Lytechinus pictus: one gene and its partners. The protein of the gene in region 2 purifies or fractionates together with the protein of the main gene of each other region. This does not show direct contact. Links are inferred from orthologs where the notes say so. Each region holds a gene or a part of one and is shown on either strand. Other genes may lie near its edges.

The links.
Region 1: the proteins of NADH dehydrogenase [ubiquinone] 1 alpha subcomplex subunit 13-like (region 2) and NADH dehydrogenase [ubiquinone] 1 alpha subcomplex assembly factor 4-like purify together in Homo sapiens (co-immunoprecipitation; 4 studies listed by BioGRID and IntAct, counting the BioPlex papers as one, with this or other methods). This does not show direct contact. The link is inferred for Lytechinus pictus from reciprocal best matches to the Homo sapiens genes NDUFA13 and NDUFAF4.
Region 3: the proteins of NADH dehydrogenase [ubiquinone] 1 alpha subcomplex subunit 13-like (region 2) and complex I intermediate-associated protein 30, mitochondrial-like purify together in Homo sapiens (co-immunoprecipitation; 3 studies listed by BioGRID and IntAct, counting the BioPlex papers as one, with this or other methods). This does not show direct contact. The link is inferred for Lytechinus pictus from reciprocal best matches to the Homo sapiens genes NDUFA13 and NDUFAF1.

Annotation. Positions count from the first base shown.
Region 1 is NC_087248.1:7,420,600-7,424,353, reverse strand, and holds the start of NADH dehydrogenase [ubiquinone] 1 alpha subcomplex assembly factor 4-like, read right to left. Parts: upstream 2,446-3,754; coding exon 2,310-2,445; exon of another isoform or gene 2,215-2,309; intron 1-2,214. Other genes in the region: uncharacterized protein LOC129258495, read left to right, coding at 2,878-2,979. UniProt on the Homo sapiens protein: Involved in the assembly of mitochondrial NADH:ubiquinone oxidoreductase complex (complex I). May be involved in cell proliferation and survival of hormone-dependent tumor cells. May be a regulator of breast tumor cell invasion.
Region 2 is NC_087249.1:30,218,632-30,222,385, forward strand, and holds the start of NADH dehydrogenase [ubiquinone] 1 alpha subcomplex subunit 13-like, read right to left. Parts: upstream 2,785-3,754; 5' UTR 2,745-2,784; coding exon 2,674-2,744; intron 1,333-2,673; coding exon 1,261-1,332; intron 649-1,260; coding exon 453-648; 3' UTR 1-452. UniProt on the Homo sapiens protein: Accessory subunit of the mitochondrial membrane respiratory chain NADH dehydrogenase (Complex I), that is believed not to be involved in catalysis. Complex I functions in the transfer of electrons from NADH to the respiratory chain.
Region 3 is NC_087251.1:31,762,875-31,766,628, reverse strand, and holds the start of complex I intermediate-associated protein 30, mitochondrial-like, read left to right. Parts: upstream 1-1,240; 5' UTR 1,241-1,562; intron 1,563-3,754. UniProt on the Homo sapiens protein: As part of the MCIA complex, involved in the assembly of the mitochondrial complex I.

The DNA of each region.
Region 1 (3,754 bases), on a different chromosome or scaffold from region 2:
TTTATAAAGAGGACTTTTGGTTGAAATTTACTCCTCAATATACGAAAAAACATCGAGTATATAGGGGTGTGGGCTACTAAAACTAAAGCACTAGCCCGTTGTTTTTCTTTACAAATTGAAAGAAGGGAAACCCCCCTACACACACCCAAAATATATTTCAGGAGCAATCTTCCAATTGTATTTTATAAAGAGGACTTTTGGTTGAAATTTACTCCTCAATATACGAAAAAACATCGAGTATATAGGGGTGTGGGCTACTAAAACTAAAGCACTAGCCCGTTGTTTTTCTTTACAAATTGAAAGAAGGAAAACCCCCTACACACACCCAAAATATATTTCAGGAGCAATCTTCCAATTGTATTTTATAAAGAGGACTTTTGGTTGAAATTTACTCCTCAATATACGAAAAAACATCGAGTATATAGGGGTGTGGGCTACTAAAACTAAAGCACTAGCCCGTTGTTTTTCTTTACAAATTGAAAGAAGGGAAACCCCCCTACACACACCCAAAATATATTTCAGGAGCAATCTTCCAATTGTATTTTATAAAGAGGACTTTTGGTTGAAATTTACTCCTCAATATACGAAAAAACATCGAGTATATAGGGGTGTGGGCTACTAAAACTAAAGCACTAGCCCGTTGTTTTTCTTTACAAATTGAAAGAAGGGAAACCCCCCTACACACACCCAAAATATATTTCAGGAGCAATCTTCCAATTGTATTTTATAAAGAGGACTTTTGGTTGAAATTTACTCCTCAATATACGAAAAAACATCGAGTATATAGGGGTGTGGGCTACTAAAACTAAAGCACTAGCCCGTTGTTTTTCTTTACAAATTGAAAGAAGGGAAACCCCCCTACACACACCCAAAATATATTTCAGGAGCAATCTTCCAATTGTATTTTATAAAGAGGACTTTTGGTTGAAATTTACTCCTCAATATACGAAAAAACATCGAGTATATAGGGGTGTGGGCTACTAAAACTAAAGCACTAGCCCGTTGTTTTTCTTTACAAATTGAAAGAAGGAAAACCCCCTACACACACCCAAAATATATTTCAGGAGCAATCTTCCAATTGTATTTTATAAAGAGGACTTTTGGTTGAAATTTACTCCTCAATATACGAAAAAACATCGAGTATATAGGGGTGTGGGCTACTAAAACTAAAGCACTAGCCCGTTGTTTTTCTTTACAAATTGAAAGAAGGGAAACCCCCCTACACACACCCAAAATATATTTCAGGAGCAATCTTCCAATTGTATTTTATAAAGAGGACTTTTGGTTGAAATTTACTCCTCAATATACGAAAAAACATCGAGTATATAGGGGTGTGGGCTACTAAAACTAAAGCACTAGCCCGTTGTTTTTCTTTACAAATTGAAAGAAGGGAAACCCCCCTACACACACCCAAAATATATTTCAGGAGCAATCTTCCAATTGTATTTTATAAAGAGGACTTTTGGTTGAAATTTACTCCTCAATATACGAAAAAACATCGAGTATATAGGGGTGTGGGCTACTAAAACTAAAGCACTAGCCCGTTGTTTTTCTTTACAAATTGAAAGAAGGAAAACCCCACCTGAGGTCTCACAGGCCTAATTCATTCCCCATAGACTCGTGTGTTAAATTGGCACTTTACAAAATTCATAAAAAATAAGGATGAAATTCGGGGGTCGAATGTTTACTACCAGTGGATAGGATATATATCTGGCAATCCATATCTGACCAGAAAAGGGTCCTTCGACTGGCTCATTTTAAAAATAAATTGGCGTGTTTGAAGACAGCGTCGGGGGGAGCAGATTCATCACCTCAAACAGCAAAATAGCCCTAATCCTTCCGCCAGTCAAAATACAGTCCAAAATTGGTGATATTTCTTCCCAATTTGGGAAAAGGAAGTTCAGTAATTACCAAAAATAGAATCAGTGTTAGATGGAAAATCATATGCATACACTTTGTCAATCAGCCATATCAAAATTAAAAAAAATGGCAATGGGTTGGCTCGAATGAATATCTATGGCCTGCCACTAGTGATTAGGCCCGTGTAGCCCTGACCCCGTTTGTTTGATTTCTACAAGAATGCACGCTTAATTCTCTTCTTGCGCATAATCCTGTATCTGATCTATCTTATATCGCGATATTGTTGGCTGGAACTGTTGGCTGGCTTGCTGTTGGCTGGCTTATTGTTGGCTCACTTGACATAGGCCGGCCTCGCGGCGGGAGAGTTCTCCGGAACTACCGGTACTCAACTAGCGCTCGGACTCGGACAGAGTGAAGCTTAGCCTTAGCTTCGCAAGGTCAAGATTTACCTCTCTGATACTGGGCTATTTTATCAGCTGTCTTGGGATGTTTCGGGGCAGGTCTTGGCTTCTGCTGGTCCAGTAAACGATGTGCCCTGCTCTCCACATTAAAGTTTGTAGCAATTCTCCTCAGAGCGCCTCCCATTTTGCACAGATTTTAGTCTTCTTTGGCGTCAGGTACCGACACTGCAGCAGCATGACCGAAAATTATTACCCAATACATGTACAAAATAAGACTGAAGATGGCGCTATACCACTTCAATCTTGCTCGAATTTCAAGTGTTTGACAGGTGTTTGAGCGTCCCCAAGCTATTTAATTGAGTAAGGGCAGCTAACCGTAGCTTGTCAAATATGAATCATATTTTTTTGAAATATCACTTGGTACCACGGAGCAGGTCATATTGATCTATTGTAAACATTGCATCAGTCGCAAGGGTCATTTCATCGGCTTTCATTCTCTGTCTACGTGACTACAGACCTTTAAAAGATAACTGTCTTTCGGTGACCATCATTTTTCTTGGCTTCAAGCTGGATAGAACATTAGTTGATCTATATAGGGAGAAAAAAATTGCCAAACATGGCCAATGGAATGTACTATCTCACATTCGTGATTGCAATTTTAGTGGTGACCGTTGGAATTCTCAAAGTAGCTCCTATCGAACCTGGACATGGTTTTATGGTAAGCATGATTATTATAGACCGACTCATATTCTCACAAAGTCACATTTAGGCATATCATACGCAGTGTCGTCTGCTAATACGCCTATACAATTAATAAGGAGCAAAACACTCAACCGTTATGTCAGTAATTATGAACGAAAATCATTATATGGTTTGTAGTAAGATAACCTGCTAAACAATGATCATGAACTACCGACGTGAACTTGTTTACATTATAGTCTCAGAATTAGACTTTGGAATCGCGCGACCGGGGAAAAAATAAAAGGGTTGAAAGCAGGCATATAATACGGGGGCCGCGGAACGGTTTTCAAAGTGGGGGGGGGGGCTGAGCCAAATGTGGGGGGGCTGACCATGCAAAAAATCACAATCATATGGTCATTTTTGCGTTTATGTACACGGTTTGGAATAAAGTGGGGGGGGGGGGTGAAGCCCCAGCCTCCCGCTTCCGCGGCCCCTGTAATATAATACGTTCACAAAATTTGCCAATGAAGAACATTATTGTACATGACTTGTTATACCTGCATAATTCCATTGTACAAGTATTATGCACATTCTCAGATTGCAATAAAATGTAATTAGTGGAAGCTTCGAAATTTTCGACATAAAATTGTCATTGGCAATTTAAAGGCCGTATGTGAATCAGTGAATTGTGAGCCTATTATGCTATAATAAGACTTTGAGATTTTACAGATATAAAGTTACCGGGGAGGGGGGGTTAAGATGGAATTCATTAATTAATTACTGAGCACGGAAAGTACGTTTCGTTGTCTATC
Region 2 (3,754 bases):
TATCAATCAAGCCTACATCTGCATCCCAGAACAAAATTAGTTTCGTAGATCCCGAATGCAGTATAACTCTAAAATCTAATTAACTATTTTCTCAAGGGGGACCAACCACTCACGGCTATTTTGCTTTGTTCCCCCGTTTGATTTGTCTACAAAAGCAGAAACTGAGACAAAACAATTCTTGTAACTCCGAAACAGAAAGATAAATTCTGTCCAAAGATAAACAATAAACAATGTAAGAACACTGCAGTAATTAGTTTGCTTATCTTGGGTTGTATCAAGATACAAAATCAGTTGTTAAAATCTTGCTTCTAATATATTAACATCAGAAATATACCATTTGGGGTATTGACAAATTTGAAGGGGTACAAGTTTTGGTGATCTACATCAAGCCACCACAGGATAACAAAATAATATTCAGTGATTGGTCCCCTTTAGAGCACACAACTATTCATTTATGTTCCTGTGAAAGTGTTGAAGCCAAAGACTTTCTTGTTCCTTTCCTTGGAGGGTTCTAGGTAGTAGAGGTCTAGAAGACCTGGTTCGTACCATCTCTTGGAGTTGAAGACACCTTCACCGATGGTCCAGCCTGGGACATCCTTCATGATCTCAGCCTCCTGTTCCCTGTTGTATTGTAGCCTCAGAAGCATCCTGGAAGATAGGAAACACATAGAGATGAGCCTCTCAATCAACACGTATTATCTGTGTAAGAAATCTGTATGAGTCCCCCCTCCTTTTGCTCCAAAAATATATGATCATTGTTTTTCCTTTCAACCTAAGTCTAGTTATTATTCCTCTGAATAAGCAATACTGATATCCCAGATATATTTTCTTGAGTAAATTTTAGACAATATGAAAATCACGTGCAAGATCAGTGTGTTTAAAGAAATCGCAACTTTGGAAAATACGAGCATTTTAAAAATTCCACAAGATGATGGAAACATACAATATTTCAAGCATAAAATCATTTGAAATGTGTATGACAGCTTGAGAACCATGTTTTTGATTCCTTGGAGTTGTACTTCAAACCCTGGGATATGTCAATGTGTAGATTTTCTTGTTTAGGTATTCTCAAGATTATAGCAAACAAATGATGAGATTTCATAATCACCTTTGTTTAGTAAACTTTTAGAGTTTGTAATATGAATGTGAAGCAAAATACAATGTAGTTCCAAAAAAGATAAAAATTTTGTTTCATTATACACTACTGTTCCCCAATTTAAATATTAGCATTAAGAGTAATCACTAAACATGGAAACATACTCTCTGTCCTTTTCTGCCCAAATAAGAGGCATTATTGCTATCTTGGATTCACGATCCTCTTGGATCCATTTCCTGTAAAGAAAAAAAAAATTGATGACAATGTGTACAAATTAATAGGCGAAATGGAATTGAGATTCACCAGCTTTCACAGAATAGGTGACTCTTAAACAATAAGCCAGTTCACGGTTAGCTCATGATCAAATTTTCTCAAATGACCTTTGTGATTTTTCATTAGGATAAGCACTATCATTTTCAAATGTAGATGTTGCGTAAGCTTTACCAGTAGAGTATTCAAATTCTACGAACAAAAGGCATTGTATAGACCAGGTGACTAGAATAGTACATCAGGGATAAAGTTTGGAAATCTTTTTTATTGTCTGCCTTTGGCACATTTGACTATTGTTTAGGCTACTGTCAAATACCAGTGATTATGAAGGCTCTATTTATTACTCTTCAGCTTGGATGTGATAAATATTTTGAAAGGAATACATGAATAATCATCAAATCACAAATGCCTATGTCAGTGAATTTGAAAGCCACCTTCATGGTTGTCTCCAATGACCTTTTTCTGCTCGTGCGCAGTTTACAACCGTCAAAAGGCTTATAGACATGCATCCTGTTATAGCTCTCATCACTCTACCCCATTCATGTTTTGAATGGACATAGCTTTAAAGGCCACCGCACACATTACGACTGTTCGCGATCCGATTTTGGAACAAATTGCACTTTGCTCATTTTCTGAAAATGTGAATGGAACATATCATTTTATTTGAGGTTAAAATTAAATGAAAGAATACTAATATAACCATTTTGACAGATTGCAAACCTTTATTTTGGAGTAAAGACCAAATTAGTTTCAAATCGTAGCCAATCGTACGACTGCTATGACGTCATTACGACTAGATATTAAATTCGCTTTTATTCTAAGAAGGATGATAGCATAGTCACAGATTTGAACATAGGTATTCCTACGATGATTTCGAACATTACACAGTAAGATATTCCAATATTAGCATCAAATTCTAGAACATTTTATTCTGAGATCGGGTCGCATACCAATCGTAAGGTGTGCGGTCGCCTTAATAAATGCCATGATTAAATATCTTATGGTACATTTTACCAAAAACATCTTTTAATATCAAAACTGATTTCCATTTCAATACCATTACATTACCAAACTTCACACATACTTCATACTGTTTTAGAAAAATATTCAGAAGCATGTTTTTATTTCTCAACTGATAAATTAAGTAACAATACAAAATGATAATTAGAAAACAATAAAAAAAACAGTAAATAAATAAACAAAACTAGTCAAATGATACTGGGCATTTAGGTGTATATTTGAAATGTAAGAGTTGATACAGTGCAGTTTACTATCCTAGATTTCTGCCCTGAAGCCTACAAACTCACCTCCTTTGTTTATTGCTCATTGCCAAGGTAACAAAGCCAAAGGTCATAATTCCAGCCATACCAGCAAACATTGTGTATCCTACAAAGACAAAATGTGGATTTCTAAAGCCATTTGTAATATAAACAAGGCAAAAGCGATTTTGTGTCTCGCCCACTTATGAAAATAAGCAGAAATATCGTGATTTGCGAGGGCACGCAACAGAATTGTATCGAAACTTCATTGTGAAATGACTGGGTTGGAATAACACTTGTCATAAGAGCCTTGCACGTAAACTTTAATGTTGACCTGAAAATGACCTTTGACCTTACCATGTGACCTCCAACTGCAGCATAACATGCAGGTCCCCCAAGTCCATCTACCATCCAAGTTTGGTTGAAAAGCGACTTACGGTTGCGGAGTTAGGTGTCATAAGAGAGTCTTGCATGTAAACTTTAACGTTGACCTGAAAATGACCTTTGACCTTACCATGTGACCTCCAACTATTAACATGCAGGTCCCCCAAGTCCATCTACCATCCAAGTTTGGTTGAAAAGCGACTTACGGTTGTGGAGTTATGTGTCATTAGGTTTGTGACGGACGGACGACGGACGGACGACATTTGGATCCCTAAGTCTCGTCTTCACCTCCGGTGGGCGAGACAAAAATGATGATGCTGTAGCTTGTATTTCTACTAATATGATAATCGAATTGGCATTTCAAAAAGAAGACAAATAAAGTGGAACATTTAACATAGGATAGGTCTAGATTCTATCGTTATTCATTTATTATTTATTTCTTCATGTTATAAATTCACCGCCAATTCAAAAGCAATGCATTCGCAAGTTTTTGTGGCTGGCAGCCATGGCAACACTTGCAATGTTAAAGCGACCTTTCATTGACAAATCATGGGGAAATCAAGGCTAATCTCAGACCAGAGAAGGGATTCAAGTCTTTCACTCGGCTGCGTGCCTGGGGGTGTTATGTAATGGACGCAGGCATGTCTGGGATGTCTATAGGACAGCAATAGTTAGTAAACTAACCAACCAGAAGTAAACTGTGTGTTTTCACTTTTAAACATGTAACTTCACAGAGGTTTATTAA
Region 3 (3,754 bases), on a different chromosome or scaffold from region 2:
GATATGACCGGGAGGAAATTTTTGGCTCTCCCCCCCCCCCCCCGCGCCGGCCGGCCCGCGGCCCGGCCGGCCGCCGATCGACCCTTAGCTGTTTCACCCATGCATGCTGCTTACGATAGACTATTTTCCATGTACTGAAATGAACAACGTCAAAAATTCTCAAGCTCCCTGCAGAAGTCTCATAGGCATGCACAGTTAAGCTCGGGGCGTAACAGGGGTCGGTTGCCGGGGAGGGGCAAGAGCCAAAAATATCCCGGTCATAATGTGAACAGGATTTTTCAGGACGTGCATATTATTATAACTGTTTTGTGAAATTAAGCAAAATTTTTAAAAGTCATAACTTTCTTATTTTATATCCGATTTTGATGAAATTTTCGGTGTTATGCTTGTTGGATTTTTCTCTTTTTATTCAAACAAATTTTTTGTGGGGTGGACTTGTCCTTTAAGTGCTTTTCTTTCTTTTCTCCTTTTCTTTTTTTGCTTGTTTGTTCTTGGTCGTAGAAATTTTTGGGACTCCCTTCCTCTCCATATAGATTCAGTCATTTACCTTGATGGCCGCTATTTTCAATCAAATCACGCGGGTATACAGGTTTTACGGAGGTTTTACGAAACAAATTTTCTATAACATCAAGAGCGAGTTTTTGCCCTATGAAAATGAAATTATGTAGGCCTCATTAAATTGACATAATTTATAAGGCAATGCTTGGACGGTACCTCTGCATGGAACCTCTCTAATAATCTTCTGTAATATTGTCCTGATTGCGATCGTTATTGCCATTTAGCAAGTTATCATACATTAATAAGCCATCTCATGCTTTAATTTATTATTAATCTTTGGTAGCCCAGACTGTGTCTTCATTTTTTTCTTCATTTTTAAAAATTCAGCTTGAGCATATTAAGACCTATACCACGTACCGGGGTCTATACTTACCTCATTGTTCTATTTCATTTTCCGTCACTTTTCTCACTCCTCAGTTTTCCCGCCATAAATTCCCGTTCCACGTGGCCATCTCTTGGTTCTCCTTTCTCTCCTATTTATTAGTATTTCGGGATTATTTTTTCTTATACCTAGATCTATACGCGTAGGCCCCCTATTCGTGTTTTTTTCCTTTTCCTTCCGTTTTACCTTTCTTCTCTTAATTTATCGGCTTTCTTTTTCCCCTCAATTCTTTCCCCTTTCTCCCCCCCCCCCCCCTCTTTCCTCTTTTTCTTCCTTTTCATTTTCTTTAATTCTGTCTTAGCTTTCCCCGGTTTTTTTTCCTGGTGAGCTCCGCCAGGGTGGGCAGACTGCCACTCCTGCCCCAACCCCGGCTGTTGCACCGCTAAGCTCCCCTAAAACTTTTGGTCTCGAACCTTGCCTGTGGCCGTACTCAGCTTGGCCGAAATGTCGCGGTGCATGCATATACCATAGAGATGTATTCTATGGCATATACTCACATACTAATATAATGGGTTCCCATATATATAATGCACGTGATGTACGTACGTGATGTATACCGGTACGTGTACCAAAGGCAAAGATGCTCTCCGAGCGGCCGGCCGACGTCCGACCTGGGTAAGTGGTAAGTTCAGAAACACTCTATGAGAAAGTCTGTAAAACCAAGGTTAATTGTTACTTTATAATCGTAGGTGGATCTAGATCTGGTACAGGTACATTAACTGAACTTTGTTAATACATGAAAGGCTGAAATCTAAGGAAGACTAGCTGAAAAGATCACGCTGCTCTGCACTGATGACTGATCACCAACACAGATAAGCACATGTGGGACAATGTACTATTGTTATTGCTCGGAAAGGGGGGGGGGGGGGGGGTCGGAATATTTCCCCTCAGACTCGAAGGGGTCCGGCGGAGGGATCATTTGGCATTTTCTTGATTTAATTCACTGCCGTTCATTTCAGGGTGACCAGAAAATGAAATATGGGACAAAAAGCACGATGCACGATCGGAGCAACTGATAAAAAAAAATCAACAAACACAATGTTTGATAAGAAAAGGAAAGGGAGGGTGAACGAAAGAATGAAGGAGAGAAAGAAAATAGGAAAGAAAAGAGATGGAATAGAGGAAAGAAATACAAAATGAAGGGGGAAATGAAAATGAAGGAAATTTTTTTTTTAAAATTAGAATGAAAGGTCGGATGAATAAAAGAAAAAAAGGTTTACTTTCTGCCATTCTTTGAAATGAATAAAGAAAGGAAGGGAAGATGAATGAATGCATGTGTGATATAATAAATAAATGAGAGAAAGGAAAAAAAAAGAAAGTAAGAAAAAAAAAGAAGAAAGAAAAAGGTTTCCTTCATTCTTTGAAAGAAAGAAAGATGGAAAAAACAGGAAAGGAAAGAATGAATAAGGGGAAAAGAGAAAATAAAGAATGAAAGAAAGCCGATGAAAGGGAGAGAGGAGAGTATGAAAAAAAAGAAAACTAATGGAAGGAGAGAAAGAACGAAAATGAAAAGGAGAGGAAGGGAGAAGGAAGCAAAGAAAAGTTCAAGGAAAGAATTAAAGAATGAAGGAAATAAAAAAAGGTATTTAAAAGAAGGAAAGTAAGAGAAAGAAAGAAAAATGAACAGAGAGAGAGAGAAAGGATCAGAAAAGAAAGCGAGGAAAGATTGGAAATAAAGATAGATGGAACAAAAAAAGGCAAGCAGGAAGGATAGAAGGATGAAGAAAGAAGGATAAAAAATAAAAATGAAACAAAGGAAAAAAGTTCAAACTTCAAGCAAGCAAAAATATCCAATCATCTTCATGATATTTGGGTTTTTAAAAATCTATTTTAAAAATTGTTAGAACACTAAAATGTTTTAGAAATGAATAAAATTTCAAAGTGAAACATTGTCAAACTTAAAAATTAGATGAAACATCGCAGCATCACACATCTCTCATCCCATGACAAGTTAGCACTGATCACAACAAGACTTAAAACGAAACCTGAAACAACTAGATCTAGTTATGAAAACTCAATATCTTGCTCCACCGATTACATCACCAAATCAGTAATCTGAGAATCCATAATATAAAAATTAAAATTGCCCGCCCATTTTGTGATTATTTTGGTGGAAAAACTGTTGATCATGTGAGATTGTTTGCACCATTGAGAATCTGCTCCGATCCTAGTAGCCTGCCACACACACAGACAGGAAGCCATTGCAAGCCGCAGAACTTGCAAAAGTTTACAGTAATTTTATTGTTGTCTCTCCTTTGTCATCTGTTGGTTATTTTCCCAGGTTATTTTTATGAAAATTCTTCACTTTTCTATGTATTAATTACATTTTGTTCAATATTCTGACATACGGGACAAATAGGCGTCCCGGGAAGGGTTTGTCGGGACGCCGGGACAAAGAAGCAAAATACGGTATGTCTGGTCACCCTGGTTCATTTCGTCAGTGGAGGTGACTTCTTTCCTCTCCCATTGACTTTGTACACAACCATGACAACAAGCGCACACAGGAGAAGAGAGGTGACTTATTTCAGGATAAGGCCGATCATTTTTATTTTGTGAGTGATTGTGTTTGTGAGCGATCATGTATGTATTTATAAATTATAGTATCTATAGCCTTTATAGGGAACTTTTTTGTTTTAATACTGTGCCTGTGCCCGGTGCCGGTGGCCAGGCAATTTTAAATTGCCTTGGATGTGCAAAGTTTTCTATCTGCTGTTGACATCAGGGTTGACTTGAGTTGAAGCCATTTTTTTTTTTGGCATTCGTCAGCTGGTGTTGATGTTTAGACTGATGAGGGCATGAAAAGAATGCTGAACC